Stegostoma tigrinum: one gene and its partners. The protein of the gene in region 2 purifies or fractionates together with the protein of the main gene of each other region. This does not show direct contact. Links are inferred from orthologs where the notes say so. Each region holds a gene or a part of one and is shown on either strand. Other genes may lie near its edges.

The links.
Region 1: the proteins of exocyst complex component 6B-like (region 2) and exoc8 purify together in Homo sapiens (affinity purification with mass spectrometry; 3 studies listed by BioGRID and IntAct, counting the BioPlex papers as one, with this or other methods). This does not show direct contact. The link is inferred for Stegostoma tigrinum from reciprocal best matches to the Homo sapiens genes EXOC6B and EXOC8.
Region 3: the proteins of exocyst complex component 6B-like (region 2) and exoc1 purify together in Homo sapiens (affinity purification with mass spectrometry; 3 studies listed by BioGRID and IntAct, counting the BioPlex papers as one, with this or other methods). This does not show direct contact. The link is inferred for Stegostoma tigrinum from reciprocal best matches to the Homo sapiens genes EXOC6B and EXOC1.
Region 4: the proteins of exocyst complex component 6B-like (region 2) and exoc3 purify together in Homo sapiens (affinity purification with mass spectrometry; 3 studies listed by BioGRID and IntAct, counting the BioPlex papers as one, with this or other methods). This does not show direct contact. The link is inferred for Stegostoma tigrinum from reciprocal best matches to the Homo sapiens genes EXOC6B and EXOC3.

The regions. Positions count from the first base shown.
Region 1 is NC_081357.1:94,381,350-94,388,347, reverse strand, and holds exoc8 (exocyst complex component 8), read left to right. Parts: upstream 1-3,992; 5' UTR 3,993-4,185; coding exon 4,186-6,390; 3' UTR 6,391-6,647; downstream 6,648-6,998. Other genes in the region: DNA-dependent metalloprotease SPRTN, read right to left, coding at 2,592-2,691, 3,254-3,498. UniProt on the Homo sapiens protein: Component of the exocyst complex involved in the docking of exocytic vesicles with fusion sites on the plasma membrane.
Region 2 is NC_081354.1:184,934,342-184,942,292, forward strand, and holds the start of exocyst complex component 6B-like, read left to right. Parts: upstream 1-4,946; 5' UTR 4,947-5,177; coding exon 5,178-5,275; intron 5,276-7,951. UniProt on the Homo sapiens protein: Component of the exocyst complex involved in the docking of exocytic vesicles with fusion sites on the plasma membrane.
Region 3 is NC_081354.1:109,168,406-109,176,187, forward strand, and holds the start of exoc1 (exocyst complex component 1), read left to right. Parts: upstream 1-4,763; 5' UTR 4,764-4,857; intron 4,858-7,782.
Region 4 is NC_081355.1:20,903,136-20,910,244, forward strand, and holds the start of exoc3 (exocyst complex component 3), read right to left. Parts: upstream 3,004-7,109; 5' UTR 2,705-3,003; intron 1-2,704. UniProt on the Homo sapiens protein: Component of the exocyst complex involved in the docking of exocytic vesicles with fusion sites on the plasma membrane.

The DNA of each region.
Region 1 (6,998 bases), on a different chromosome or scaffold from region 2:
TCTAAAACCATCATGTGACTAAACTTATGACATTTCCAGCTAATATTCCTGGCAAGAATTTGACAGGGAAAGGCACGCCTGACTGAAGGACAGTGGAGAAGGCACTAGACATTCCAGAAGACATTTCTAGTTGTAAATTGAGAGATTAAGTACTTTTTAATTAAATTTGATTTATAAGTGTAGGACTTCTATTTACTATAGCATACCAATAGAATTTTGTCTTATCCTGGAATAGTTTCTAGTTCAGGGGGGACAATTGTTCAGTTTCTAAGTAGTTATGTTTATTTGTTTATGGTTCGAGTAGTTAAATTGTTACTTGCTGATCTAGAGTGAGACTGTCAGGACCTCATTTCATTTAACCTCCCCTTTATAACAGATTGGGCAGTGAGAGGCAGACTATCACTTTTCACACTTGCTCTAAGAAACGAGGAGGAGAGGCTATCTTCTCTAGGGTGTTTCGGTTTCAGTTAGTTATCAGAGGCTGGGGTGGGGTCAACCTCTTTAATAAGATGTATCTATTGTTCAAGTATTCCAGTTAATTAAGAGAGGTCCTCAATGTGTAAAAACACACCTGAGTAATAGAAACATAATGCAATGGGTATGCACACATACTTTAATTACAGAATGAATTAAATTACTTAAATATGATGCAACCTTAAGACAGTCATCTCATTTGCACCCTCAACTGATTACTTGTACATTGCTAAGACTGCAATAATACAGTAAACCTGTTACTTAAGGGATATGACTTGCTGGTTTTATCTGAGATTGCAGTTAAAAAAGATATACTAAAAGCTCCAAGGGAATTTGGATTTAAGATGGTTATTTGGCCTGGAGCAAGCTGGAAAGAAACCAATATTGATGCAAACTGCCTTCAATGGATGCCAATACAACCATTTAAAAAGCTCAAACTGCATGAAATCTGTATGTACATCTGAGGTATAAAAGATGCTCACTTTAAAATAAAAATGCCCCACTTTATCAAGTTAAAAATCCATAGTTTTTGAGACTAAAAGTAGTTAAGGTCCAAACAAAAAAGTAGTCATGGCCAAATTTGAGATTTGCCTCACTATTACTGACTGGGAGTTCTACTTCAGCTTTTGAAGTCTCCCAGAGATTACACCAGGCATACTTGCAACTGAATTCGCTAAATATTCATCGTACTACCTTTCCAAATGTAACCACTTTTTTGCTCCGACCTGTTGTAAGTTTGAAACCCTGTACAATTATCCTCTTCACTAGCAGAGTGCTCCACTGTGTGTAGCAAGTGAAATTCAGCTAGGATTTGATGCAAGATACTTTCATTACTTCCGGTTAAGACTGATTTAGTTGCTTCTGTGATTCCAGTTATCTGGGATGCACCTCTTCCTGGTTATGGAAGGATAAGCAGCATGACTGAGGGATTGCAGAAAAGATAGAAATCCTCTCTACAAATGGTAGAGTTACTAAAAAGAAGTTTTCTTCAAGTTATCAGGCTTTTCATGTTTGCACAGGGAAGCATCACTTTCATCCCCAAACTCCAATAAAAATATAATAAAAATAAAAACTGCAAATGCTGGAAATCTGAACAGATTTGTGTTTTCAATAACACAAACAACTTGAAGAAACATAGGTCCAGTGACATCTGGAGAGAAAGCAGAATCAAAGTTTCAAGTCCAGTGACCCATCTTTCAAAACTACCAGACCTGCTGAGTTTCTACTGTAATTTCTGGTTTGTTATTATTGTAAACAAGAGTCTGTTTTGGCTTTCCAGCATCTGTGGCCCTTTGGCTTGTGTTTCCAATAAATACATAGTTTGCTTCATCGCTAAAATATTTTCATTTCAGCCAGCTCAAACAAGCTAGACAGACACCTCAGTCAAAATCAAAAAAGCTTTTGCTAAGCAGAAGCTGTGCAGCTTAACCCCACCAGTTATCCTCAAAAATGTCAATTTATAGGATAAATGGACATGTGGGACAAGTAGCCAGACAGCAAGAAAAATAGTTTACGTTCATAGATTTTTAAATTCATTTTCTTCAGATGTCCCTCTGCATCAGTCATTTATCTGAAGTTACAATATGGAAATCTACCACCTTAGCAGAGAACACGTTACTGTCACTACATCAGTGATTTCTGAGGTAATGCAAACCTGATACCCTTGGAATTTCAGAACTATAAAAACTTTCAACAGAGGGAGCAGCCTTGAACTTATTACAATGCAAGGAGGGTGGGAAGTATATGGACCTTCCATCATTAACACTATCCTGAAGAAAGGATCATGTTCCACAGAAGCATCCTTGCAGAAGAAATTCCTAACCTGGGGGAGATCAGTGCAGTTAGGACCACAGATTCACCAGCCACAATTTCTAAAAAAAAGTGTTGCAAAGAGAACACAGTCACAGGCTAACTAAATTACAGAGTATGTTAACAGGCTGAACTGCCTACTTGTAGAGTAGACTCAATTGACCAGGCACACTTAATGCCAGAACAGAGGCTGCAAATAATGTTTGAAGTTAAGTCTGAAGTGAAATCAGAATTTTATCAGCACACCAGCCTACTTCTTGTAGGAAGGAAATACCAGAGGTCACAGTATTGACACAATCAGCACATACCTCAACCAAGTCTCGCCTGGGTCGCAGTTTCAGCAAAGGTTCACTGATACGTATAGAACACAATCCTCCTCTGCCCTCATAGCTGCACACACCCGCACAACTGTAACAGATCCACAGTAGGTAAGCTCAATTTATTCAGCATGAGAAACAGCAAGTAGCACAAACAATCAACAAGAGTGAAGATTTAATGCAGATGTCAAAAGTGCATTGTCAAGTCTATCCAACTTTGTTTAGAGCGATTTTTTTGTAAAGGAAAAGATGGCAAAAATTGAGATTCAAGATTCCAGATTCCCTCCTTCAATGAGCAGGTCTTTTCAGCACATGCAAGAAAAAAGTACAGCTATTATTTGTAGAGATAACAGAGTGGAGGTGGAGGAGCACTGCAGCATCAGAAGAGCAGGCAAGATGCCATTTCGGCCCCTGCTTTTCTGGTGTTGCCTGACCTGCTGTGCTCCTCCAGCTCCACACTGTTTTATCTCCGACTCCAGCATCTGCAGTTCTCAGAGTCAGCTATTATTTGTGCCGTAGTCTTCTGGATTGGATATTGACGCTAAGTTTTGTTGACCGGCTTCAACAAGGAGACAGGGGAGTGGGATATCGCGGGAAGCACCGACTCCCCTTTCAGCAAACCGCGGTGAAGCCGCGGCCTATCCACAACTCACAGAGTCATCCGCGGGCTCCAGCGAACCTCCACCCCGGACAGCCGGCCCCAGAAATACAAGTCATTAAACTGCAGGAAGAGGCCGTGCAGGTCGGGGTTCGGGTCGATCAGCTCCCAATCCGGGTCCACCACGGACAGAGACGCCGGAGGCTGCGGGACCATACCAGGGCTCGAGCTGGCATCGCTACGGTCCTCCTCGTCCCAGGAGGCCTGCAACTGAAGCGCCAACAACAAATCACCATCCATACCGCTCAGCACCGCCTCCTGCAACCACCCAACTGACGTAGACAAACGGAGGTAGGGCCTCTCCCTTTACTTGGCGAATCACATGATGGAGCCGCAAACATAACAGCCAATGGCAGCGCAGGATGATACCACGGGCCACCCAATGACAAATCAGAATGGGACTACCAACGTTAACCAATGCAAAGTCAGCATTGGAGAAGCAAATCAACAGCCAAGCACAAAAAAAAGCTCAGCAGGTCTGGTCATCTGTGAAGAAAAAGATCAGAGTTCCGGTGACTCTTCCTCATGCAAGCGCACAATTAAAGACAGACAGCCAATCATGATCTAGACAGCTGTCAGAGCGACGAATGGGACTGCGGGTCACGGGGAGCACGGCAACCAATCGGACGCCGGAACCGCCACAGCGTGGCCAATAGGAGAGCGGATTACTGCTGGCGGCGCACCAGTCAGAAGTCAGTATTGGCGCAGTGTGACCAATGGGACTGCGGGTCGTTGCTGACGGCCAGCCAATTGGAGGCTGCAGATGAGCGGCGGAGCCCAGGCCTCGGTAGTCGTTTGGAGGAGCGACCTGACGCAGAGAGCAGGGCCCCCGAGCGTGGAGGCCGGACGGGAGCAGTTGTGAAAAACCCGAGGGCGGTATATATTGTGGTGGGGTGGCTAAATCAACCTCCCACCGGCGGCGGCAAGATGGCGGCGGACGTGGCCTCCAGGCTCCGGCGGCAGCTGGAAACCCCCCGCTTCGAGCCGGCCCAGTACGTGAAGCAGCTGTCGCAGCAGTCAGATGGTGACCGCGACCTGCAGGAGCACCGACACAAGATCCAGAGCCTGGCCGATGAGACGGCACAGAACCTGAAGAAGAATGTCTACAAGAACTACCGGCAATTTATCGAGACGGCCCGGGAGATCTCCTACCTGGAGAGTGAGATGTACCAGCTCAGTCACATCCTCACCGAGCAGAAGGGGATCATGGACGGCCTGACCCAGATGCTGCTGACCGCCGACAGGGAACAGCAGCAGCAACAGGGATCCCGCCAGCTGCAAGCCTCCATGGGCACGGCTGGCGGGACCTCATCGTCCTCTCTCGGCTCCTCCACCACAACTACCACCACCACCACCACCACCTCCACCTCCTCCTCCTCCGAAGCCTTCCTTATCCTGCCCCGGGAGGCCGAGGAGCACAAGCAGCGCACCCTCACCACCCTGCTGGAGAAGGTGGAAGGCTGCCAGGACATCCTGCAAACCCCGGGCCGCTACCTGGTCTACAACGGTGACCTGCTTGAGTGCGATGCCGAGAGCGCAGCTCAGATCCAGAGGGTGCACGCTTTCCTGATGAACGACTGCCTGCTGGTGGCTGCCTGGCTGCCCAGCCGCCGCGGGGCTGTTCGCTACCGCTACGACGCCCTGTATCCACTGGATAGCTTCGCCGTGGTCAATGTCAAGGACAACGGGCCCATGCGGGACATGTTCAAGATCCTCATGTTCCCCGACACGCGGGTCTTCCAGGCCGAGAACGCCAAGGTCAAGAAGGAGTGGCTGGAGATCCTGGACCAAACCAAGAAGAACAAGGCCCTGACTGAGCGCTTGGAGGTGGAGAAAGAGGAAGCCAAGGCCCGGCTGCTGGTGGCCGAGGAAGAGAAGCAACAGAGGCCTCTGTCACCGAAAACTAACCCATTTGAGGATGAGTCTGATCCAGCCATGGAGTTGGTGGACCTGAGCCTGGAATGGATTCAAGAGCTGCCCGAAGACCTGGATGTCTGTATTGCTCAGCGGGACTTTGAAGGCGCTGTTGACTTACTGGACAAATTGAACGAGTACCTGAGTAGAGCAACCAGCCAGCCCGCGGTGCGCCAGCTGAGGAGTCGTGTGGATCAGCGGGTCCGCCGTCTGACTGATGTGCTGATGTATGAGCTATCCCCTGGCCGCTCGCTCCGAGGTGGTCCACGGGCAACCCGCCGTGCTGTTTCTCAGCTGATCCGGCTGGGTCAGTCCACTAAAGCCTGCGAGCTCTTCCTGAAGAACCGGGCAGCTGCAGTGCAGACAGCAATCAGGCAGCTGCGCATCGAGGGAGCTACCCTGCTGTACATCCACAAACTCTGCAACATCTTCTTCACTGGCCTGCTGGACACGGCCAAGGAATTTGAGATGGATTTTGCTGGTGACAGTGGCTGTTACTCGGCCTTTGTGGTGTGGTCACGCTCAGCCACCCGGCTGTTTGTGGATGCCTTCAGCAAGCAGGTATTTGACAGCAAGGAGAGCCTGTCCACCACAGCTGAGTGCGTGGAGGTGGCCAAAGAACACTGCAGCAAGCTCAGTGAGATCGGCCTGGACCTCACCTTTACTCTTCAGGCACTGCTCGTCAAAGATATTAAGGCAGCCCTGCACAGCTACAAGGGCATCATCATGGAGGCCACCAAGCACAGAAATTCAGAAGAGATGTGGCGAAGAATGAACTTGATGACACCGGAGGCCTTGGCAAAATTGAAGGAGGAGATGAAAGCCAGTGGAATCACCAATTTTGATCAGTACACTGGAGATGACTGCTGGGTCAATCTCAGCTACACCATTGTGGCCTTCACAAAACAGCTGATGGCCTTCTTGGAGGAAGGGCTGAAGCTATACTTCCCTGAGCTGCACATGGTCCTTTTGGAAAGCCTGCGTGAGATCATCCTGGTGGCAGTGCAGCATGTTGACTACAGCCTGCGCTGTGAGCAGGACCCAGAAAAGAAAGTCTTCATTCGTGAGAATGTTTCATTCCTGTATGAGACTGTGCTCCCTGTGGTGGAGAGACGGTTTGAGGAAGGAGTTGGAACACCAGCCAAGCAGCTCCAGGATCTCCGCAATGGATCTCGAATCATTCGTGTCAATCCAGAAAGCACTAATTCATTTGTATAAACTCTAGGAGCACTTACAGATAAACCAATGATTGCAGACATTCCCTGCACAAGCATACACTTTTTTTTTATTAATTGCTTCAACACTAATGCTGCATAAACATTGTTTGTGGGACTCATCATGAACTCGCTACCTTAATAAATATACAACATGAAGATCAATGTTCTCCAGTAGATGTGAGCTGCCAATTTCAATTTCACCTGTCCTGTATTTTTGTGTCCTGTTGTATTCCACTAGTAAAAGCACTTGTGGCAGTATTGGTATTTGTTTTAATCAGAACACCGCTATGCAAGAACAATTGAACTTGATGAGAAAGTCTTTGCTGTTCAGCTGATCAGAATTCAGCATAGGAAGATTACATTTGAATTCTAAATGCCAAAACTGGGTTTTTTTTTAAAACTTCTCAGAATTATGGAACACTTAAAAAGAGTTTCAGCCTTTTAAGTCACAGGGAAGTACATCTATTTCAGCAACGACTAAAACATGCGGAGACCGCTGTTTCATAGAGTCATGGCATGTTGAACGCAGAAACAGGGCATTATATCTTAAAGTATGCATTGATGCTACTCTAACATAGTGTCACCGTCCTGACCAAGTCTGTTTTCAAC
Region 2 (7,951 bases):
ACTCAACCCCAAGAACTTAATGATTTCCTGTTTTGATTGGGGAATGAGGAACTGTGCTATAGTGTGAAGCTTTGTAGAATAGTGGTGGTAGTGTTCTGGTAATGACTCTGGGCTGGTAGTATATATATATACCAGTAATATATACCAAGAGTAATATATACCAAGAAGGAGATAAATATTTCATTTTTTCAGAAAACTTTCTGAAGAAAGGTCTAGGCCCGAAACGTCAGCCTTCCTGCTCCCTTGATGCTGCTTGGCCTGCTGTGTTCAACCAGCTCCACACCTTGTTATCTCACTTTAGGGTTCACCTGGAGCACTGACAATGTGGTCCTCTGGCTGACAGGTTTTGGCTCTGTTGGCCTTTTTCATTGCTTTCTGGGAGATTTTCAAGGTTCTCAGGAGTTGCTTCTGGAATGCAGCTACACTCTAACATGGAAACCTGCTCCCCTGCTCCAAAAATACCTCCTTGATCAATTCCAGAGGCTCTCACACTTGGTGTCTGTGAAATAACTAAAGTAAAATCCATGGTTTCAGTGGGTGAGTCCCTGGTGGTGAACAGCGGAAAATCTTGTCCTTTTTCACCAGTCATGGGAATGCTCATAGTCATGTAGCACGGAAACAGGTCCTTTGGTCCAACCAGTCTATGCTGACCACTTTCCCAAACTAAATGAATCCCACCTGCCTGCAATTAACCCATAACCCTTCAAACCCTTCCTGCTCATGAACCTATCTAAATGTCTTTTAAACTGTATCTGCATCCATCACTTCCTCTGGAAATCCACGTGAACTACTCTGAATAAAAAGGTTGTTGCCTTCATTTCCTTTATAAATCTTTCTACTCTCACCTTAAAAAAAAGGCCTGCTAGTTTTGAACTCCCTAACGTTAGGGAAAAGACCTTTGCTATTCACTTTATCTGTGCCCCTCATGATTTTAGAAAATCCTATGAAGGTCACCCCTTGACCTCCTGCACCCCAATGAAAAATGTCCTATCCAGCCTATTTCTACAACGCAAACCCTCTATTTCTGACAACAGCCTGGTAAATATTTTCTGAATTGCCTCCAGTTTAATAATAATTTTCCAATAACAGGGCGACCAGAACTCCACACAGTACTCATGGCAGTGTGCCCTGATGATTGTTCTCAGGGTCTGAGGGTATCATTCCAACGTCCCTCTCCCCCATAACTGTGGATGATATCTGAACAAATTGGAACAAGCCGGATCGCATTGGGCAGACGAAGTCAAGTGAAGAATTGAACCAATTCCCACTCCACTGCTCTGGTGGATATGGTTCTCAGGAACAGACTCTGGAAAATAGATAACCAAGTTCATGATGATGAGGATGTATTGATCGCCCCTTTTTTTCTTGAGGGGTGCTACACAGTCTGTCAACATTTTGCTGACTGATTCCCTGAAACAAAACCTTCCGGTAGGTAACGGCCGACTGGTATTTTTGTTAGACTATTAATCCAGAGACCCTGGTAATGTTCTGGGGACCCGGGTTCAAATTCTGCCATGGCAGATTGTGGACTTAAATGAAAATCTGGAACGAAGAGTCTAATAATAATAACTGCAAAAGCATTGCTGAATGTCAGAAAACCATATCAGATTCACTAATGTCCATTAGTCTGGCTCCAGACTCCAGGCCCACAGCAATATGCCCTTTGGACAGTAAGGGATGGATAATAAGTGCTAATCCCAGCCAGTGACACCAACGTCCCATGAATGAACAATAAAACAATGCAAACTTGGGAATCCTAGGGCAGGTCTTATTGTGAGTTGGGGTTTGCCCATAACCTGAAAACTTCTGCAAGACCTCACTACAACTTGTGGAGCTGTGACCACTTAAAATATTGGCTGATGTGGGAGTGGGTTTTGCATTTTCCAGCGTGACCAGCTGGCTGCAATATTTCTCCACCGTCCCTTTGCAGCACTGCCACCTGGTGGTCACTGTCCACTATCTATGAGGGAGATCTCCATTCCTACACCCACACCTCTTTTTTTTAATGTAGCAGCATTTAGGGACTGCTTCTGCAGTCTGAGTTAGGGCTTTGAACACCAGATCATCTTGGTGGGATGTTACCAAGGAAGGTCTCCTTACTACCTTCTTGATGTCTTGTAGATTCCAGAAAAGCTTTCAGACAACTGGATCAGCGGGTGAAGAAGGGTCCCGACCCGAAACGTCAGCCTTCCTGCTCCTGAGATGCTGCTTGGCCTGCTGTGTTCCTCCAGCTCCACACCTTGTTATCTGTTGGTTCAGGGGGTTTTCTGTTTGTTGTGTTGTCTCAGGTTGTATTGACTTTATGAGCATACACTTAGGGAGAATGCCAGACAGTTTCTCCTGGAGCCGTTAGGATTCCCTGACCTCATTGACCTCAGTGACCACTGGGGATACTACTACCCCATCAGATCAGTCCCAAGGACCAGATTGACCTCTCTCACATAGAAACTGGATAAGGTAGTCACTGGTCCTGACACCCAGTAAAGAGGTATGGGCAAGTACCCTTCTGCAAGCCCCTTTACCGTAATCTTGTACATGCCTTTTTCCAGAGCAGCATTTGACCAGCCCCATTCTTTTTTCTTTATTCATTCACGGGATGAGGGCTTCGCTGATCAGGCGGCATATATTGCCCATCCCTAATTGCCCAGAGGGCAGTTAAAAGTCAACCACATTGCTGTGGGTCTGGAGTCACATGCAGGTCAGACCGGGTAAGGATGGCAGTTTCCTTCCCTGGACATTAGTGAACCAGATGGGCTTTCCTGACAATCGATAATGGTTCTATGGTCATCATTAGAACCTTAATTCCAGATATTTATTAAATTCAAATTCCACCACCTGCCATGACTGTATTCGAACCTGGGTCCCCAGAACATTATCTGGGTCTGTGGATTAACAGTCCAGTGATAATACCACCAGGCCATCGCCTCCCCAGGTGGCTTGCTTGCCTCACCCTGTGGAAATCTGGCCACCCTTTCTTTGAATACAAAGTCTGGTAACTGTCAGGGATTTGGTTGCCCTCATTTTCTCTCTCAGCAGTGCCCCACAGTGATTTACAACTACAGTCAGAACTTTAGCCAGGCCTGCGAGTTTCCTGCCTGATTCTCATTCTCTGCACATTGTGGCATGTGCCCTGGTGGCTTCCTATTTTTCCTGTCAACAACTGTGTGAATGGTTCTCCGGAAACTGAACAGCTTAGAGGAACAAGTTGGAGGGAGACAGAAGTGTTCTGTCCATCCCTAGCTCAGGAGCAGTCTCCGTGTTCTCTGTAAACCTGAAGAAAACTACCTTGAGTCCCTGAGCAAGCAGTGAAAGCATCTGGAAAAAGATGGTTGAAGCAATTGCTGGTCAGCAGAAGAGCCATACGATAGAACCTGGGAGCAAAGTCTACTTTCCATTATTTCTCCTCTCTCTATACTATGTGTGCCCGCATGTATGCATGTGTGTGTGTGTGTGTGTGTCTGCCTGTGTAAGTAAGTAAGGGAGGAGTTTATAAGGAGGCTGGATTTTAATTAGTAGTATCATATGCTAACGGTTCATTACTATTTACCTGTAGTTAGTCATTCTTGTTCAGTGTAGAAATCTGGTCTGTGCATTCTATCAACCTAGGTTTGAAAGTCCAGTAAATTGGGAACCCTCAAAAAGCTTTAACTTTCACAATCATCCAGGGCTCAACTTGTAGCAGACTACTTCTTACAGAATTTGGGGCTTGTGTCGGATTGGTTCAGAAACAAAGAAAATGAGGATTAGAATGGTGCATGAGTAAATTATACAACAGAAAGAAAAACACCAGGCCCTGTACTGTGCTTAAGGCATAGCACTGGAAATATCAAGGGATTTCTGCAGGTGGCAGAGCTTTTGCTGGTGGTCTTGAAGGAAATGTCAAAACCAAGGTTGGTTTAGTAAAATGGATGTAGCACTGCCTGAAGGTAAAAAGCTAGAAAGTCAGAGATAAATGAGGTACAAGTGAGGCACTTGGAGGAAGTATAAAAAACGCTGAGTAATTTAGGTAGTGAAATGTCAGAATCGGTGATATTCAATGAAAAATTAAGCGACTGCAGGATGAGGACAAAATGAAAAACTGGGTGAGGAACTCCAAAGGGAAGTAAAAGACAAGGTCACTTCCTCAGATCAGAAAGGGAAGCATTGAGGGTGAAGATGACAATTGTAAGCTCATGGGTTTCCATTGAAACAATGTGGGACATATTCATCCAGAATGCTGAAAGTAGAAAAATAAATCAATGGAGCTTAATGGGTTTCTAAGAATGATATGAAAAGGAAACTCAATAGGAAAAGGCCACGCAGATCAGGTTGTAGTTTTAACTACAACTAAGAGTCAGGAGGGAACATTGCTGTGAGTGTAGAAATAATACATAGAATAGATGAGAAATGTGAAGGGTTTTCTTCTGAAGGAAAAAAACCCTTTTTCTTCAAAGGAAGAGTTGAAGCCCAATACTCTCCTAAGAGACACAGACATTACTCGAACTCTACTGGAGAAGGATATAGATTTACCTCCAGAGAGTTAATTGAAAGCCAAAGTATTGGAAAATGGGAGAAATGGAGAGCAAATCCCATTCCATTGTATGGGGTCCAATTGAACAGTGACTCATTGTCTGGTCTAATGGTCATCAGGATAGTTAAGAAGTTACCTGTAGAAGAAGATTGATGAACGGCAGAGCAGGCTAGAAGGGCAGAATAGCCTCTTCCATCTCCTATCGTCGATGTTTCTTCCGACTAACTGGTAACGAGTCAGCCAATACCAGTCATTGCCACAAGGAGGCTCTTTACTGATTTGGCTCTGCGCAGGCGCTAATTCCACCAGGTGGAAAGCCTGATCAGGATAACGAAGTGTGAGGCTGGATGAACACAGCAGGCCAAGCAGCATCTCAGGAGCACAAAAGCTGATGTTTCGGGCGAAGGGTCTCGGTCCGAAACGTCAGCTTTTGTGCTCCTAAGATGCTGCTTGGCCTGCTGTGTTCATCCAGCTCCACATTTTATTATCTTGGATTCTCCAGCATCTGCAGTTCCCATTATCTCTGAAAGCCTGGTCAGTTCGAGCGGGAAGGACTCCAATTCCCAGCATGCCTCGGCCCTCGCCCTGTGACGTTTGATGCCCGGGTCGCCGCCCCCTGTCCGTGCGTCATCGCGCAGCGCCGGTACGTTAACATAAAGTCAGCAAGATGGCGGAGGCGGAAAGTTTGGAGACGGCGTCGGAGCACGAGCGAATCCTGCGGGAGATCGAGAGCACGGATTCGGCCTGTATCGGGCCCACGCTGCGGTGAGCGGCCGGGACTGGGGGTTAGGGCTCAGGCTGAACCGAGCACGCCGCCGTACTGGGAGAGGAGATACAGGCACCCTCCCCAGCCCAGGATCAGGAGTACGCCCCCTTATCCCCCACGCACAGGACCACCCCACTCCCTTCCCCACCCTCATCCTAGGGCCCCACCCCCTTATCCCCCACCCCCTTATCCCCCACCCACAGGACCTTACTCACCCTCATCCCCGGGTCCAACCCCCTTATCCCCACACCCATCCCCCTTATCCCCACACCCATCCCCATCCCCATCCCCACACCCATTCCCACCCTCATCCCCACCCTTGCCCCCCCTCATCCCCACCCTTCCCCCCCCTCATCCCCACCCTTCCCCCCCCCCCTCATCCCCACCCTTTCCCCCCCCCCTCATCCCCACCCTTTCCCCCCCCCCTCATCCCCACCCTTTCCCCCCCCTCATCCCCACCCTTCCCCCCCCTCATCCCCACCCGCAGGATCACCCTGCCCCCTTATCCCCCGCCCGCAGGATCACCCTGCCCCCTTATCCCCCGCCCGCAGGATCACCCTGCCCCCTTATCCCCCGCCCGCAGGATCACCCTGCCCCCTTATCCCCCGCCCGCAGGATCACCCCGCCCCCTTCCTCACCCTCATCCCAGGGTCCAACCCACTTATCTCTCACCCACAGGACCACCCCACCCCCTTATTCCCCCACCCACAGGATCACCCTGCCCCCTTCCCACCCTCATCACAGGGTCCAGCTCCCTTATCCCCCACCCTCAGGATCACCCTGCCCCACCCCGCCCTCATCCGAGGGTCCAGCCCCCTTCTCCCCCACCCACAGGACCACTTTCTCCCCTTCCCCACTGTCATCCCCGGGGCCGAGCATCTTCTCTGCCTTCCCCGTCATCGCCCCAGACCACTCCCTTTTCCCTCCTCTTCCCCATCACTCCAGGACCACCCCATTCTCCCCCTTTCTCACCATTACTCCAGGACCACCCCATTGTCCCCCTTTCCCATCATTCGTCCAGAACCAACTCCTCCTCTACCCAGTATCATCCGTCCCAGGACCATTCCCTCCTCTACTACCACCACCATCATCCTCATCCTCATCCCAACTGTCCTGCCCCAATCACCACCATTATCCCAAGAGCATCTCTTAGCCTTGACATCCCAGGACCATTCCCCTTAGCCTCATCATAAATTCATTATTCCCCTCAAAACTTTCCGGGACCACCAACACCCCATGATCCCAGGTGTTCCTTATGAGACAGGAATCTCATCCCGAGAACCCATTTGTGTCTCCTCTCTTTTCAGATCAACTCATTTCCTGGGATGGCCATTTCATGATCCTCGGATTGCCCTTCATCCTGGGGACCCCCACATGGCAGACACACACTTTATTCCAGGATTTCTCTCATATAGAGTCAGTGGGAACACCACCCTCATCCTGGGATTCCCTCATGCAGATGGGACACTTCCACCTGGCAGATTCATTTCCCTATCCTGAACCCTACCTTATCCCAAACTCCCCCCTCCCCCAGTCATCCAAAGTCTCCTGAACCTAGGGACGACCACCTTGCCCCCATTCCAGAAAATGCCTCAACTCGGGATGACTCCTTAATCCTTGAAAGTGGAGTTGCAGGTTGACAGGATGGTGGTGGCATTTGGCACGCTTGCCTACATTCGTCAAAGCATTGACTGTAGGAGTTGGGATGTCGTGTTGCTGGTGCACAGGACATTGATGAAACCACTTGTTGAGTACTGTGTATAATTCTCGTCGCCCTTCTGTAGGAAACATGTTGTTAAACTTGACAGCATGCAGGAAAAAAAATTCAAGGGTGTTCTGTGGTTGGACAGTTTAACCAGTAGGGAAAACCTGAATAGGCTGGGGCTTTTTTCCTGGAGCATTGAGGGCTGAGGCATGATCTTATAAAAGTTTGTAACATCAATAGGAGTGTGGGTAGGTTGAATAGCAAAGGCCTTTTCTCCAGGGTCGGGGGAGTCCAAAACCAGAGGGTGTAGGTTTAAAGTGAGAGGGGAAAGATTTAAAAGGGTTGCGAGGGGCAACGTTTTCCCCCCTCAGGCACCTCAAATCTTAGAGTGCCCATGGGATCACCCCCGTCTTCGTGCTCCCACTGTATTCTGATGCCACTCTCTTGTCAGATCAACTCGTCCTGAAGTGTTGCCAGTTTGAAGATGAGCACTCCCCAAGCTTAGTGTGTCATTGGATAGAATGTCATTCTCAAGAATGCATATTGTGAAGGGGCAAATGAATTCTATTGAATAGCAATTTCACCAATTCTTACAGCTTCTAAGAAGGGAGTGCACTCATTTTGTGTATGATTCTCAGCTGTTTTAAGGAACTGTGGTCAGTGAACCCTGCAACAACAGATTCAGTAATAGCGAGTTTTGAGAAGATTTGTAACTCAGGTTGAGGTTCTGGATGTGAGTTTGCTTGCTGAGCTGGAAGGTTAGTTTTCAAACGGTTCGTCACCATTCTAGGTAACATCATCAGTGAGCCTCCGATGAATCGCTGGTGTTATGTCCGGCTTTCTATTTACCTGTTTAGGTTTCCTAAACAGAAAAATAGAAAGCGCTGGTGTTATGTCCCGCTTTCTATTTATCTGTTTAGGAAACCTAAACAGATAAAAAGAAAGCGGGACACAACTCCAGTGCTTCATT
Region 3 (7,782 bases), about 76 Mb from region 2:
CACACTGCCCTCCAACCGCGCCACACCCAGCACCTTCCCCTGCAACCGCAGGAAATGCTACACTTGCCCCCACACCTCCTCCCTCACCCCCATTCCAGGCCCCAAGATGACATTCCACATTAAGCAGAGGTTCACCTGCACATCTGCCAATGTGGTATACTGCATCCACTGTACCCGGTGTGGATTCCTCTACATTGGGGAAACCAAGCGGAGGCTTGGAGACCGCTTTGCAGAACACCTCCGCTCAGTTCGCAATAAAACAACTACAACTCCCAGTCGCGAACCATTTCCACTCCCCCTCCCATTCTTTAGATAACATGTCCATCATGGGCCTCCTGCAGTGCCACAATGATGCCACCCGAAGGTTGCAGGAACAACAACTCATATTCCGCTTGGGAACCCTGCAGCCTAATGGTATCAATGTGGACTTCACCAGTTTCAAAATCTCCCCTTCCCCCACTGCATCCCTAAACCAGCCCAGTTCGTCCCCTCCCCCCACTGCACCACACAACCAGCCCAGCTCTTCCCCTCCCCCCACTGCATCCCAAAACCAGCCCAGCCTGTCTCTGCCTCCCTAACCTGTTCTTCCTCTCACCCATCCCTTCCTCCCACCCCAAGCCGCACCTCCATTTCCTACCTACTAACCTCATCCCACCTCCTTGACCTGTCCATCTTCCCTGGACTGACCTATCCCCTCCCTACCTCTCCAACTATACTCTCCTCTCCACCTATCTTCTTTTCTCTCCATCTTCGGTCCGTCTCCCCCTCTCTCCCTATTTATTCCAGAACCCTCACCCCATCCTCCTCTCTGATGAAGGGTCTAGGCCTGAAACATCAGCTTTTGTGCTCCTGAGATGCTGCTTGGCCTGCTGTGTTCATCCAGCTTCACACTTTATTATCTTGGATTCTCCAGCATCTGCAGTTCCCATTATCAAAAATGGAACTCCAGTTGGAATCTGTGTTGGATAAATCAGAGCCAGATCCAGAGCCACACCTAGTCACTGAGGAAGGAGATGTGGCTATGACACTCAGTCATGGCAAACACAAGGAGAGAAATAGAAAGCAGTATCATTTTCATATTATACACAAAATATTAACACTATTTCTGGCTCCAGATTTGCTGCCAGACTTGTGAAATTTCGTCAGTGTTTTGTTTTATTTCAAAATCTTGTTAATTGCATTCAAATGGTTTTCTGCTTTTGGAAAATTCCATGAATGACTTAAACCTTCTCTGAAGTTCTCAAAGGTCGATCATCTCCTCAAAACATAGTTAACAAGACTCTGATTATTTGATTTTTAACAGCTCACATAATGGCTTTGCTACCATAGCATCAGCTTCCCTTTCTTCCTATATTTAAAAACTACAATGACCAAACTAAATTTCCTATAATATATTCATCCTATATGACCTATGATATATTCTATAATGCATACATTCACAATAAATTTTATCGTCTACCTGCATCATAGTAGCAGGAATGCACCTCAGCAAACCTGGCTGGTGTTGGTGTGTTCTCATCCCAACCCCTTCCAACCTCGACCTCAATAAGGTTTGCTGCTATTCAGCTTTCACTCACTCTATGTCATTCATTTTCTTGCTCCCACTGTATTATACCAGCTTCCACTCTCACTGATTTACCCAGATTCTGCTTTTGCTGACCTATTCCATTTTCCCTCAGACTACTTTATCCTATTTCCACTCTCATTGCTTTGGATGAAGATTTTGTAGGATAAATTTAGAGCATTGAACAGATTATGCCAACCTTTGGTTTTTAACGCATGTCATGTAGAACAAAGTAAAGACTGAGAGAGTAAAGGAATAGTACAGCTTTGATGTCCTGGGAAGGGTAAGACATAGTATATTCATACTTCATCTCTCTAACTTGAGGATATATTTCCTCTGAGAAAGGTTCAAAAATTCATGACAAAATCTTTCAAACAAGCTGCCAAACTGCTATGAGTGAATGAGTACTTCCTTTTCACTGTCTAAATCTTTTTCAATTCTGCTTCCTGGTGAATTGCTTTTCATAATTCTTCAAACATTGTGTTTCTGATGCTCAGTTTGATCTATCATTTTAAATAATTTCTCCAATCTGACTTTCCCCTTACATTGTTCCAATGTTTCTATCCTAATTACTCTTAAGGTCTTCTCCTTGAAGAAGTCGTTTCAGATTTGACAGGTAATACGGTAAATTTTGTATAATGTCACCCAGGTTCTTGTTCTCTGTGGTTCCATTCCTGAAAATAAAAAAAAATTGTGGCTACTTTCTTAATACTGCTAATATTTATATTGTATCTGATGGAGTATCTCTGTGCCATTTTGAAATTATTATAAAGTACTTTACTCTGTATAATGCATTAAGATATTTTGTACATTAGAAACATTATGCAAGTATCACGTATGACAACGTATATGTTTCGGTTGACATCTGATTTACAAACTGAGTTGGCCTCTTTGCTAATTAACATACTATTTGTAAATTGTTATATTGACCATGTAAAATACTCAATGCTATGTGCAATAATTGCATATTTAGATTTCAGTTCCATACTAACCTCCAATTCCTTTGTATATGTAACTTAATTATCAGATAAGATACTGCAAGGCAAAAAATAGTACTTAGTAACAATTTGATTCTCTCAGAAACTGATAAACAGGATTGTACTCATTTGTATTTAACTGTTTGCTATAATAACATTTTCAGCAGGAATTGAATTGAATTAATCATCAAACATTTACACAGACAAGATAGATCGTAATGCTAAGATGAAAATTTGATAACATTAATGTGTTTTGGGGGCACCACAAATACCTTTCGAACTTGAGAACTACATAAGGATGGTTGCAGCACACACATGTGCACATGCATACACTGAATCATCAGACAACCAGAAAAGTTGACGTTTCGGGTAGGGACCCTTCTTCAGAAAAAGAGTCCCGAACCGAAACATCAACATTTCTGCTCCTCGAATGCTGCCTAGCCTACTGTGTTCCTCCAACTCCACACTGTGTTATCTCTGACTCCAGCATCTGCAGCTCTTAATATATCATGCACTGAATCATATTGGCTGCCATATATGTGACAGTATTAATCTATACATAGTGAATGTCAGCTGGAAGAATTCAGAACTCATGACATGCAATATTGATTTGACACCAATCAGGACATTATTGAGCTCATCACTCCAGCAATGTCCTCTCTTCATATCATATAACAGTTGCTCAACAACACAAAGGACCACTGAGCAGCACTATTTAAAACATTGAGCTACATACAAGCTAGTTCTTTGTTTGATTTCTTCCAGTTGTTATCATGATTCTCTACATCTTTGGTGCTTTCAATGGTTATTCATGTTACAAATATCAGAGGGAATAGTGTGCCTGATGATGAAAGACTTCTTGATGACTTCCAATTGCAAAACACAGTTGCTTCCAGACTTGGGTGTATTAGTAAGGATTCTGCTAGCTCTACATCATAAGTTGGAGAATAAGGAGAGGTCATTCAGAGTAAAGGGGAAAAGGGGCATTGAGGAAAAAGAGAGAGGCACCTATCAGGAGGTGTTCAGGGAGCAATTTTTCTATGTAAACTTCAATGAAAAACAATGGGAGAAATTTAACACACCCTGAGGCAAGTTTGGACACAAGGGCATTTATTCTGGTTGGGATCCACCATCTTCCTGATTATGCCTGGGCCAGGAAGATTAATGCCAATTTAAGGCCTCCTCCTGCCATTGTCTACTCTCACCTAGCAGATAATGGGGATATTGCCAAGCAGGAAGCCTGTAAAGCTAACCCTTGCCAGCTCCCTATGTGTGGGGATCACTCATTCAATGACACTCATTGCCTGATTGAGAGATCTGGGGTTAAGAGGGCTGAAGTTGCAGAAAGTCTTACCCTGCCCTCGCTCTTGAAACCCTTCTCCTGAAAATGGACTGCAGCTTGTCAAGAAAGTAGTTTACTATCACCTTCTCAAGGGCAATTAGGGGTAAGCAACATTTGCTGACCTAGCCAGCGATGCTCGTCCCTTGTGAAAACATTTAAAAAGGTTTCCACAGTCAAGCCAACTCAATCTGAGGTATCTTCTTAGCCCCAAACAATGTGGGGAGCGGTGACACAGTTGGAAAAATATGGCAAGAACAGAGAAACGAATTCTAAACATTAAGAAAAATATGCCCAATTTTTCCACACAAGTCTTTAACAGCCAAATGCAGTTTGGAGCTCACCAACACCAAGAAGGGTTGGGGGTCTGGAATGCACTGCCTGGGAGGGTTGTTGATGCGGATAACCTCACAAGCTTTTAAAAAAATGTTTGGATGAACAGACGAAGTGTCATAACATTGAAGGCTGTCAGCCTAGTGTGAGAAAGTGGGACTAGTGTAGGCAGTTTATCTTTCGGCTGTACAGACTCAATGGGCCAAAGGGCCTCTTCTGTATTGTATGATTCTAAGACGGGAGGAAAGAGTCACGTATGGATCATACGAAGACAAGAGGTGGAAATCTGGAAGAAAAGTTGATTAAATTTTCAAACAAGATCCATCTGCACAATTCAACAAAACAAAATCGAAATTCACTAAATGTTTGCATTTAACAGTTAGTTAAAATCTCTGACAGTGCTAGAAAAACAGCTGAAAATAAGACTGTAGAGCTGACACATCTCTTCCAGCATGGAAAGAGTAAATAGCAAAGCTTTGCCAGTCTGAATGATGGCGCCTTTCAAATTGTCATATGGGGCGGGCGGTACATATCCGGATGTGACAGTGGAGGTGGTTCAGTTCCGGATCCGGCATTGGGATGTTGGCTGTTGGTTGTTGTTGAGAGGTCGTCTCTGTTGGACGGGATCTGCTTTCTGCTTTAAGGTAAACACGATGGGGTGCAGTGGGCTGGGGCTAACAGTACGGGGGAATTGGCTCGGATTCGAGTCAGAGTTGTTGCAAAAAGCCCGGAGATTGGGGACAGTATTAGCTGGAAAGTGTCATTTTTCCCAGCTATTTAAACTTGGATATCATAGTTTTTATTGTGATAAGAATGTGGTACATTATAAAGTAGGAACCATCTGTCAGTATCTTCCTGTCTGCTCAAAACAGAAATCACACTGAGGCCATTTTCAGTTCCTCCAGTACTAACTGGTTGGATTTATTCTGGTGAGCAATTGCAGTCGATTGTAAGTCGCACAATGTCACTGAAGAAGAATCAGCAGTTTTCCAATCAAACCAAAAGTGAATCAGCATAATTAAAATAAAATAAAATAAAACAAAATCCACAAAAATTGTGAGGAGGGCATGTTGCCTAATTCTTAATATCATTATCAGTGTGTGGGGATCCCTGCATCCTCAAGATTTCAATGGTTTTAACAGGTTTCAGTTCACTGCATTTTCTGTCTACAGTGCCAACCAGTCAATGTAGGAAGACAACCAGACTCATTCTGTGTCTCTAACTTGACAATATCAACAGTAAGGCCAAATCATTTTGGTAAATAATTGAACTTGTTATATACAGTTTTTACTATGTATTAACTGTATTGATAAATTTTGCAACTGTAATTTACTACTTTAATCACTCGCTGGTCAAATTGGTTCATTCTGAATCTATCTTGGTCAAAGTTACCAACACCACCTTTGGCGATTGTAGCTGTGGTGCACCATTCTTGCCCTTACCAACCCCTCCATGGCATTTAGTTCTGTTGATGATTTCAAGTTCCTTCCTTTCCTTCCCTTTAATATCTGTGACACAATGCTCACTTGATTACACTGCACCCTGTTCTAAAGCAGCCTGCAAACTCTTTACTACATGGCTTCTGTAATTTTCTCTAAGTTCCATTACTGATTCCTTCCTCTTTCCTATCTATATGATGTTCCATGGTTTCTGCACACGTAGTATTAATGGCTACTTACCCTCCCTTGCCTACATCTCAGGTTGTTTGTCTGATCTGGTGCTGGTCATGTATATTGGGCATCCTTCATAATGTTAAAGCCATTTGTTTTTCTCCACTACAGTTACTTCGTATCCTTGTCTCTGTGTGACCTTAGTCAAAATCCATGTAGAATCAAATCATCCAGATTGCTCATTTCCTTCTCCACAGGAAAGCACTCTACTGTACAGACTTCACCTTTCCTGTTGCCCATCAATACTGCTTTAGTTCATGTCCCTAGCTCCTCTAAGCAAGTTCCAATTCACTTCACTAGTCTTCCACCCATTGTGTGTGGTACTTGGTCTATAATGCCAGTTCCTACTGTTCTCCATTGGCCTCTAGTTCCCTAAAGTATTAAATTCAAATCCGTCCCCAGCCAAACCCCATCTTACCTTCGAAATGCCTCTTAACTCTAGTCCCTTTCTGCTCTGTTACAGTACATTTTTCTGTGTGGCCATCTCTTCCCACTCTACTTAAAACCTACTTCCGTGATCATGTTTTTGGTTCTCTCCTATACTTTCACCGTTGAGCAACTAATTTCACCTGTTTGAAACACCTTGTAAAGTTTTACATTAATGAACACTAGAAACATCTATCTCTACTTTTCAGTCATTTTGTTACTCAAAGGTTGCTTGTTCTGATGTACAGCATGCACATTTAGATAGGGCCTTTTAATTCAGACATTTTAACTTTATTCTCTGTGTTAATCCCATCACAATTAAACATTCACTTCCTCCAACCGCCAATGTATAGTGGCATCGACAAGAGACACTGCAGCGACTTGGCCTACTGTATTCATCCAGCTCTACACTTTGTCATCTTGGATTCTCTAGCATCAGCAGTTCCCATTATCTCTTTCAACAGCAGCCCAGAATGTGAAGTACAAAGTTGTGCGGGTGTCAAAAATCTGAACAAAAAACATACTGGAATCTTAATTGGCCAGACAGCAGCTGTAGAGGAACAGATGTCCACTTGTCGATATAGATTTTTTTTTTTGGCAGTTTTGGGAAAGGTATCACACCCAGAATATTTGAGTTGCATTCTGAAATGCATTATCATAGGTTTGAACTGAGTGATTGATTGATATAGAAGCCTGCACAGAATAAAGCAAGGGGAACCAACAGTTTAATGTGAAGGTTCACCAAGCCTGTGAAAATTTAATCACAAGGTCAACCAGTGAGAGTACACTTGCCTCCTGAATTCATATGTGGAAAAATCAGGAGAGGTCCCTCCACTGGTAAGCCATTTCTCTCCCATGATGCTGATAGCCTCAAGTACATCTACTGGTAAGCCTTTCTGCAGCAAATGCGTGAAACATCTTGTGGTTGGAGGAATGTCAAGCGTTGGGAAAATGAATGGCAGCATATCAGTATGAACACAGCAGCAGTTGTGGGAGAGGCTGCAAAGATGAGACAACCATTTTAAACTTGGCAAGAAAGGAATGTTCAAACTGGGAGCCTGGAAAATTTAAAGGAATTCCTAACAAAAGACTGTATGTGGAGTCTCTAGCTAAGTTCAGGACCTACTTTCGGCAGGAAAATATGTTGAATACTGTTGTATTGAGTACTTGGGTAATCCAATACTGAATTTTTACTTCAGAAGAAAGATTGGCATTTATGTATTATCATATCTGTGTTTTGCATTTTATGAAATAGCCAAAAATGCATCATTTTGCAGATGGTACAATCCTAAATAGTAAAGAATAACTAAACTTTTATTGTACCTCATGACTTTCAGCTATTTCAGAGTACTTCGCAGCCAATTTAAAAACTTTGGAAGTGTAGTCACTGTGGGACATATCCCCTGACTGGGGACAAAAATTCAAAAGGCAGGCGGGATTCAGGCAAGTGGAAGATGTTTTTTTAAGCAGAAA
Region 4 (7,109 bases), on a different chromosome or scaffold from region 2:
GGACTGACCTATCCCCTCCCCACCTCACCACGCATACTCTCCTCTCCACCTATATTCTCCTCTAACCATCTTTGGCCCGCCTCCCCCCTCGCCCTACCTATTTCAGAATCCTCTCCCCGTCCTCCTTTTCTGATGAAGGGTCTAGGCCTGAAACGTCAGCTTTTGTACTCCTAAGATGCTGCTTGGCCTGCTGTGTTCATCCAGCTCCACACTTTGTTATCTCGGATTCTCCAGCATCTGCAGTTCCCATTATCTCTGATCTCAATAAATCACTGGTTCTTGATTTACCATTTTATCTCCAGCTTTCATAACCTTGATGCTGCACTGCATCACAGACTTTAGCCTGTCAACAAGATCAAGTAATGTGGCTCAATGACCCAAATGAAAGAATATTATATGATCAGCAGACGCATAACCTTCTTTTACCACTTTTGCATTTTGTACATTGGGAAAGAAAAAAAGCTGCCAACTCAGGGCATTGGAGTAAGATGCTATAAACCATTTTAGCCTGATGTGTTGTATTACAAAAAGCCAGTTGGCGAAGAACAGAACCTTCTTAACGCAAAGATAAACCTTTTAATTTAACAACAGTTTTAGTTTGTCTAGCTCCTCTGCTAGGAATTCCATCCTTACACTTTATTTCCAAAGTCGATGGAGACTGATTTAGCTCAGTCATTACCAAGATCATCATTTGGCCAAGCACTATCCACTCAAAGTTTCCAAACTGATAGGTAAAATGGGAAGCTAAAGCTCCTAAGAGTTTACCCTGGCCTAGCAGATGGATGAATTTGACATCTTTGGTAGTTGGGCCATTCAGATACAGCGAGGCAGTGACTGGGTTGAATTGATTTCCAGAGATCAATTTACTGCAGAAAGGAAGCATACAAAGGAATTTTGAGTGAACGGTGTCTGTTCAAAGCAGATTTGAGACAATCTCACAAACAGACAGACCTTACAAGACATTGGGAATTGTAAAGAAGCCTGGGCCAGATGCCCCACTGATTGGTCTCTCCATAATCACTCCCTGGTTATGCCAGTCTTCCACCTACAGCATAACAGTGTTCAAACAATTGCATATCTTGAATCTTACTTATGCTGAATAAAATATAACCAAAGTATTATTACTCTGAATCATTTTGGAACTCGGGACAGGAGGCTAAATGACTCCCAGAATCCAGATTTTTTAGCACGCACATGACTGATCTTGATTCATATTTTACACTAGAATTAGTTTAACTGAAATGAGTGTTCAGACTAGGTGGCTGCAGAGTGAGAAAGAAACAATATTGCTTTAAAGTTTGGCTTGAAGCTGCTGAACAGTACAGAACATATAAGGGACAATAGTGAAGTCAGATTAACAGAGACAGAATTACACTTGCTGATACAGTAGGGATGTTGAGCAAGACAGTAAAGTGGCTAGCAGAAATAAACTACAACTTAAAAAACAAACACAATTTTACTGAGGAAAAAACCTCTCTATAGCAGGAATCAAGTTTGTGTTATGAAACATGAAATACTCCCTAAAACAAATACCATTACTGATTTTAAAAAAATGTTTCTGATTGCAAATACATCCTACAACAAAACGGCATTCACAATTTTGCTGCAAATAAATTGTTCATAAAACTGGGGAAAAAATCTTCTCAGACAGTGTCCAAATAAAGGACTTGATTTTGTAATGAAATGTTATAAATAAAGCTACAAAACCAAATACTTCTCTGAAAATCATAAATAATTAGGCATTTATGAAACTAAAGTGATGCAAAATGTATATTGACATTGGTAACAGGTATAGTACTACAAATAATCATCCTATCAAGTTGTCTAATCATGAACAAAAAGTAATGTCCCATTTTGTTGGTAGCTGCAACAAAACAGTGGTCATTCCCCACTACATTGCCCCATATGACTTGGTGTTATCAGAATGGAAGAATGGAAATGGAATTCTGCAGAGATACTGAGTGCCAGTTTGTCTCTGTGATAGCAATCACCCTTCTGAAGGCAAAAAGACTGAAGCTTCAACACTAGCACAGGACTCTGCAAAAACTAACGTGACACTTTAATGTAGTACTGCGGGAGTGAATGATCATAACTCCACTTTTCTGCTAGGGTGTTACCCAGAGCTCAGTTCACCTGTTTAAGCTGCTCTCAAATCAATATGCCCTCATTCTGGTTGAACATAGTGCACTACAATAAGAAACTTTAGCTACCTGACCAAGACTAAAGGATAGTAAGTGCTGGATTGAAATTTTGACATAATCCTTTAACTGACACTTCACAATAACAATTCTTTAAGGCTATCGTAAACTTTTGACAATTGCCTTATGTAAAGGTAACTTTCTAATATATTTCATCTCCAGTTCTAGGACAACAATAAATAACAACACAGCTGAACAATAACACGACAGCGTGGGGTAGCAATAGCACAGAGAAGGAAGCAAGTCCCAGATCTTGAAGCTGTAATATCATCATTGACAAGGGTTCGCAATGATTGCCATTTACCAGGCCCTGAGACTGCAATAACACGCACAGTTGGATCTGAGGATTTTAATAAGATTGCTAGACTGAGAACACCAGACAAGCACAGACTCCCATAGACCCGCACTAACATTTACCCAGAGCCAGCGACTGCAATGTCACCAGACTGCACTCTTAATCTGAAACGAAATGCGTCCCGAACCGCAAATGTCACTGACTGTCCTACCCTGGGAACGAAATAACACCACACCCGGGCTCGTTTGACCGTTTCTTGTCTTTTGACGCCTCTCTGCACTTCAAGCAGCAGGAACAGGCCCCAGGCCCGGGCCTAGCACCACCTTCACCACTCCAGATCCTCCTAACCCTGCCTGGGGTACTACGGCCTCTCGCAGCGCCAGAGGGACGGCGGGAAGACAATAACGAAATCGAACACCACGAGCATTCAAACCGTGTCCCGCGACGGCACGAAACTCCGACCGGCCAGATTAGAAACCGCGCCGTCCGACGGGTAGTGTAGTCGGCCTGTCGCATTGGGGAAACTACATAACCCAGCATGCACCACGGCAGAGCAAGTACATTTCCGGCCAGCTGGGGAACGGTTTGGAGATTGTACTTTGGCTGCGGTCTCCATTCCTATCTGCATTAGACTATCCAAGAAATCAGTGAGCTATGTCTAGAGCAGTCTGAAGCTGTCGTAGCAAACATAATTTATCTAAACCAAAGTCTGTATACGCTGCAAAGAGAGTCTATCTTAAAAATAATCTCTACAAACCACAACAAACAATCTATGGCCGAAATTATAGCAAAGTATACTAATAGACACTGGGAGTTACATAAAATCTGGGATCTGGAGTGGGCCATTCAAACCCTTATGCGTGAGCGATGTCAAAAAGATCACGGCTGATCTCACTGCCTTGCCTCTACTTGCCTGCTTGTTTCCCATAGCCCTTGACTTCCTTGTTGATCAAAACCCTAGCTAACTCAACCTTGAATGACTTCAAAGATCCAGCCTTTGCTTCTGCCTGTGGAAGACAATTCAAGGCTAACCAGTTGCTGAGAGAAGTGTGCGAAAGCAAGTTGGCTATGTTGATAGAACGTGAGATTGTCTTAAACTGGGGTTGCGAGCCCAGCTAGTCCAGGCACCACATTTTGGTGAGGATGTGAAGGCATAGGAGAGAGTTCAGAAAAAAAATCATGAGAACGGTTCTCAAGATGAGAAAGTTATGAAGGACCATTTCTGTTGGAGAGTAGAAGGCTGAACAGAGATTTAATAGATGCAGTGAGCAATCCTACCAAAATAGATCGGGAGAAACTTACCATTTGTGAAGAGATAGAGAACATAATGACATAGTTTTACAATAATTAGTAAAAGAAACAAAGGCAATGAGATTTTTTTCACATAATGAGTGGTTCTGTTTAAGGTGTACTAACTGAGATTGTAACAAAGGCAGATTCAGTTGAAGCACTCACAGTAGAGTTAGACTATTATCTGAAAAGGAAGAATATACAGGGTTTCAGACAGAAGACCAGGAAATGGCACTAAGTGAATATCCCATCCGGAGAGCTGGCAGAGGCATGATGGGTCAAACTGCCCTATAATTTGTCAAATTATGTGAAGAAATGCTTGCATTCGAACAGCACCTTTCATTATCTCAACACATTCCAAAGCTTTTTAGCCATTGAAATATTTTAAACAATTGTTACTGTAATAATATAGGGAATTACAGTAACCAATTGTTCACAGGACAAACCCACAGGATAATTTGATAATGACCACATAATTCATTGTTGCTACAGGAATAAATACAGCCCTGGGCACTGGGGAGAAATGCCACTGCTTTTCATCAAATTGTCACATGGTGTTTTCACATTGATCTGAGTGCACTTGAGAGCACACAGTGAGAGTAAGTCTTACCTTAGTGTCTCAATTATAAGGCAGCACCTGCAACTGTGCAGCACTAACACAGTACCGCAATGGCAGTTTCAGCCCAGAATTTATTCTCCACTTCCTGGATCAGAACTTGAACTCAAGACATTCTGCCTCATCCACAACTTGTGTTCCAGCTGAATATTAGTAGCAGGAGTATTCAACACCAAGAGTCTGCTCAAATCATGGCTGGTCTGCACCTCAATTGCATTTGTCTGCCTTGCTCCACATTCTTTACCACTTACCCAACAAAAATCTACTGATATCTGTCATGGACACCTCCAGCAGCCACAGAATTTTGGGGGATAATGTTCTGATTTATGCCCATTTTTCCCTTTTTAATTCACATCAAAATGTTCTTGCAATAAATAGACATAACAATAGCACTGTGTTAAAGAAAGATAGCCTAGAATTTACAACTTCAAACAACACTTGTCTATCTTTGGTGCCTTGTTGAGTTGTATGCTACTTGCAAAGACACTGATAGCAGCAATTCCAAGACGTTTTGACAAGATCTGTACAAATACTTTATTGTAGGTTTTTAAACTAAGTATTTACAATGTTTTGTAATTATAAAACAATAATTAGTGCACACTGCAAAATGGCAGAACTTGAAGGATTCTTTCATTGTCAAACATTGAAAAAAACATTCATTGGAGAAACTGACTGTTTACATGTTCTCCTGATAGATCCACACAATCTGAAAGAAAATGAGGATAATTTTCTTCTATGTATTTTCATTAAGGAAATATGGAATTCAATGATGTAAACTGTACTGTAATGAAGATTTTACAAAGTTTTGTTTTTGAACAGAACCAATCTTCTCAAGCTTTAGAAAAACACAGTTATTGCATATATATATATTTCAAACCCTATATTAAAAACTTTACATTTACAAAGACCTCCAGTTATTATTTTACCATTGAAAACCCTTTTGTCCATATTTATTCTGGAAAGTGTAGCAACACCACATAGGGTAGTGGATAGAATAGTTTTACATAGGGAAGGAAAAATAATAGAGCTTGCAATTATATAGTATTTCTCCAATGTTAGAACATTCCAAAATTCTCATGAGCAATTGAATACTTTTGAATTGTCATCACTGAAGATATGACAGCTAATCCATGCACAACACAACGCAATAATGAGTTCATACTTTATTTTAGTGAACTTGTTTTAGGGATAATTGTTGACTTGGACTTGGACACCAACTCCCCTGTTTTTTCTTTGAAGTAGTACTATGAGATCATTTACATTTACCTGAAAGGGCAGATGGACCCTCAGTTTAAAGCCTCACAGGTCATATCCATTTAAAGGTGGAGACATAGGAACCTATCATAGAAGTGAACAGGAAAGGACAGAGTGTATGATGCCAAACCTGGACTGAAATACATTATTGTGTTTTTCTCCATCTGAAAACAATATTATGTCTTGACTACATGTGTGCAACACTACTTAAGATTGACTGGCATTGAAAATAAAATGTAATTTAAAACTTACAAATGATCTCAGAAATATCTGCCAGTGAAAACTTCTAAAATATGCAATAGGAACTGCAGAACAACTGGGTGTAGAAACCTTGACGTTCTCCAAAAGGGAAGTGGGGAGCTGACAGGGAACAAGTACTTAGCAGTCATAGGTTTGAACTGTTAAACACCTATTTGTTACAGCAGTGGGTTTATGAAATTTGTGTTGTTGTTGTTTGTTGTTGTGGAGTGGGTTTATAAAGTTGACTTTAAGGCAATTTGTTGGAACCGAGGAATGGCTATCAGCAAATATTTGACCAACAAGTGCTTTTTTGCAATAATCTGCACTATCCCAAAAGAAAAAGATTATTAGACACAAACAAAAGCAAAGTATTAAAGATATGACATATGTTAAAGCTAAATTGTCATTTCATAAATACATGTTGCTTTCTGTACATTATTGCTGTTTTTATATTTATTTACAAAAATGAGCAGCAACATTGACAAAGTATTTTAACAGTTTGTAAACAGTGATGGAGAAGCACTTGTTCTCAAAATTTTATCTCTTTAATACTTGATTTAATAGGCTAGGCATATTTGTTTCTCTTTCTGGTGTTCTGAAAGAGACAACACAGAAGAATAAACATTTTTGAGACAACAGGCAAAGAGAATTATATAAATCTTCACAGGGAAGCTGTCTGAATTAAAACGTAATGTTGGGGTTATCACATTTAATATGTGATGTATGGAACAATGTTTAATGTCTCCCAGTGATGTACTGAGGTGAAATCCCTTTGATCTTGCAGTAATTAGGTCACAGATATAATGAATGAATGCAATGGGGTAAAATTGTTTAAAACGGTATCTACTTTCAACCTTAGCTCTAATTTATTGTTACAAGTAACATCGATATTTTTATGTAGATGCAATCAGAATGATGTTCTTAAGTAAATATTTAATAACATGTGATGCTCCTATCTTACTATGTCAATGAAACAATTTGCTGTGTCTGATTTCATATGATTATTGTCTGTGTTTTCTGATTCTTATGATTATGACACTTTTGAACAAAAAATACAAAATCATTTTGACTTGGTAAGTATTCAAAGCATCATACAAATGCAAACGAAGAAGATGAGGAATATGTTGCAGGCACCTGTGTTTATAACAGAATTGCAAATGGGATATTGGCATTATTGGCAAGGCAATAATTTATTGACACTCACTGATTACTTTGA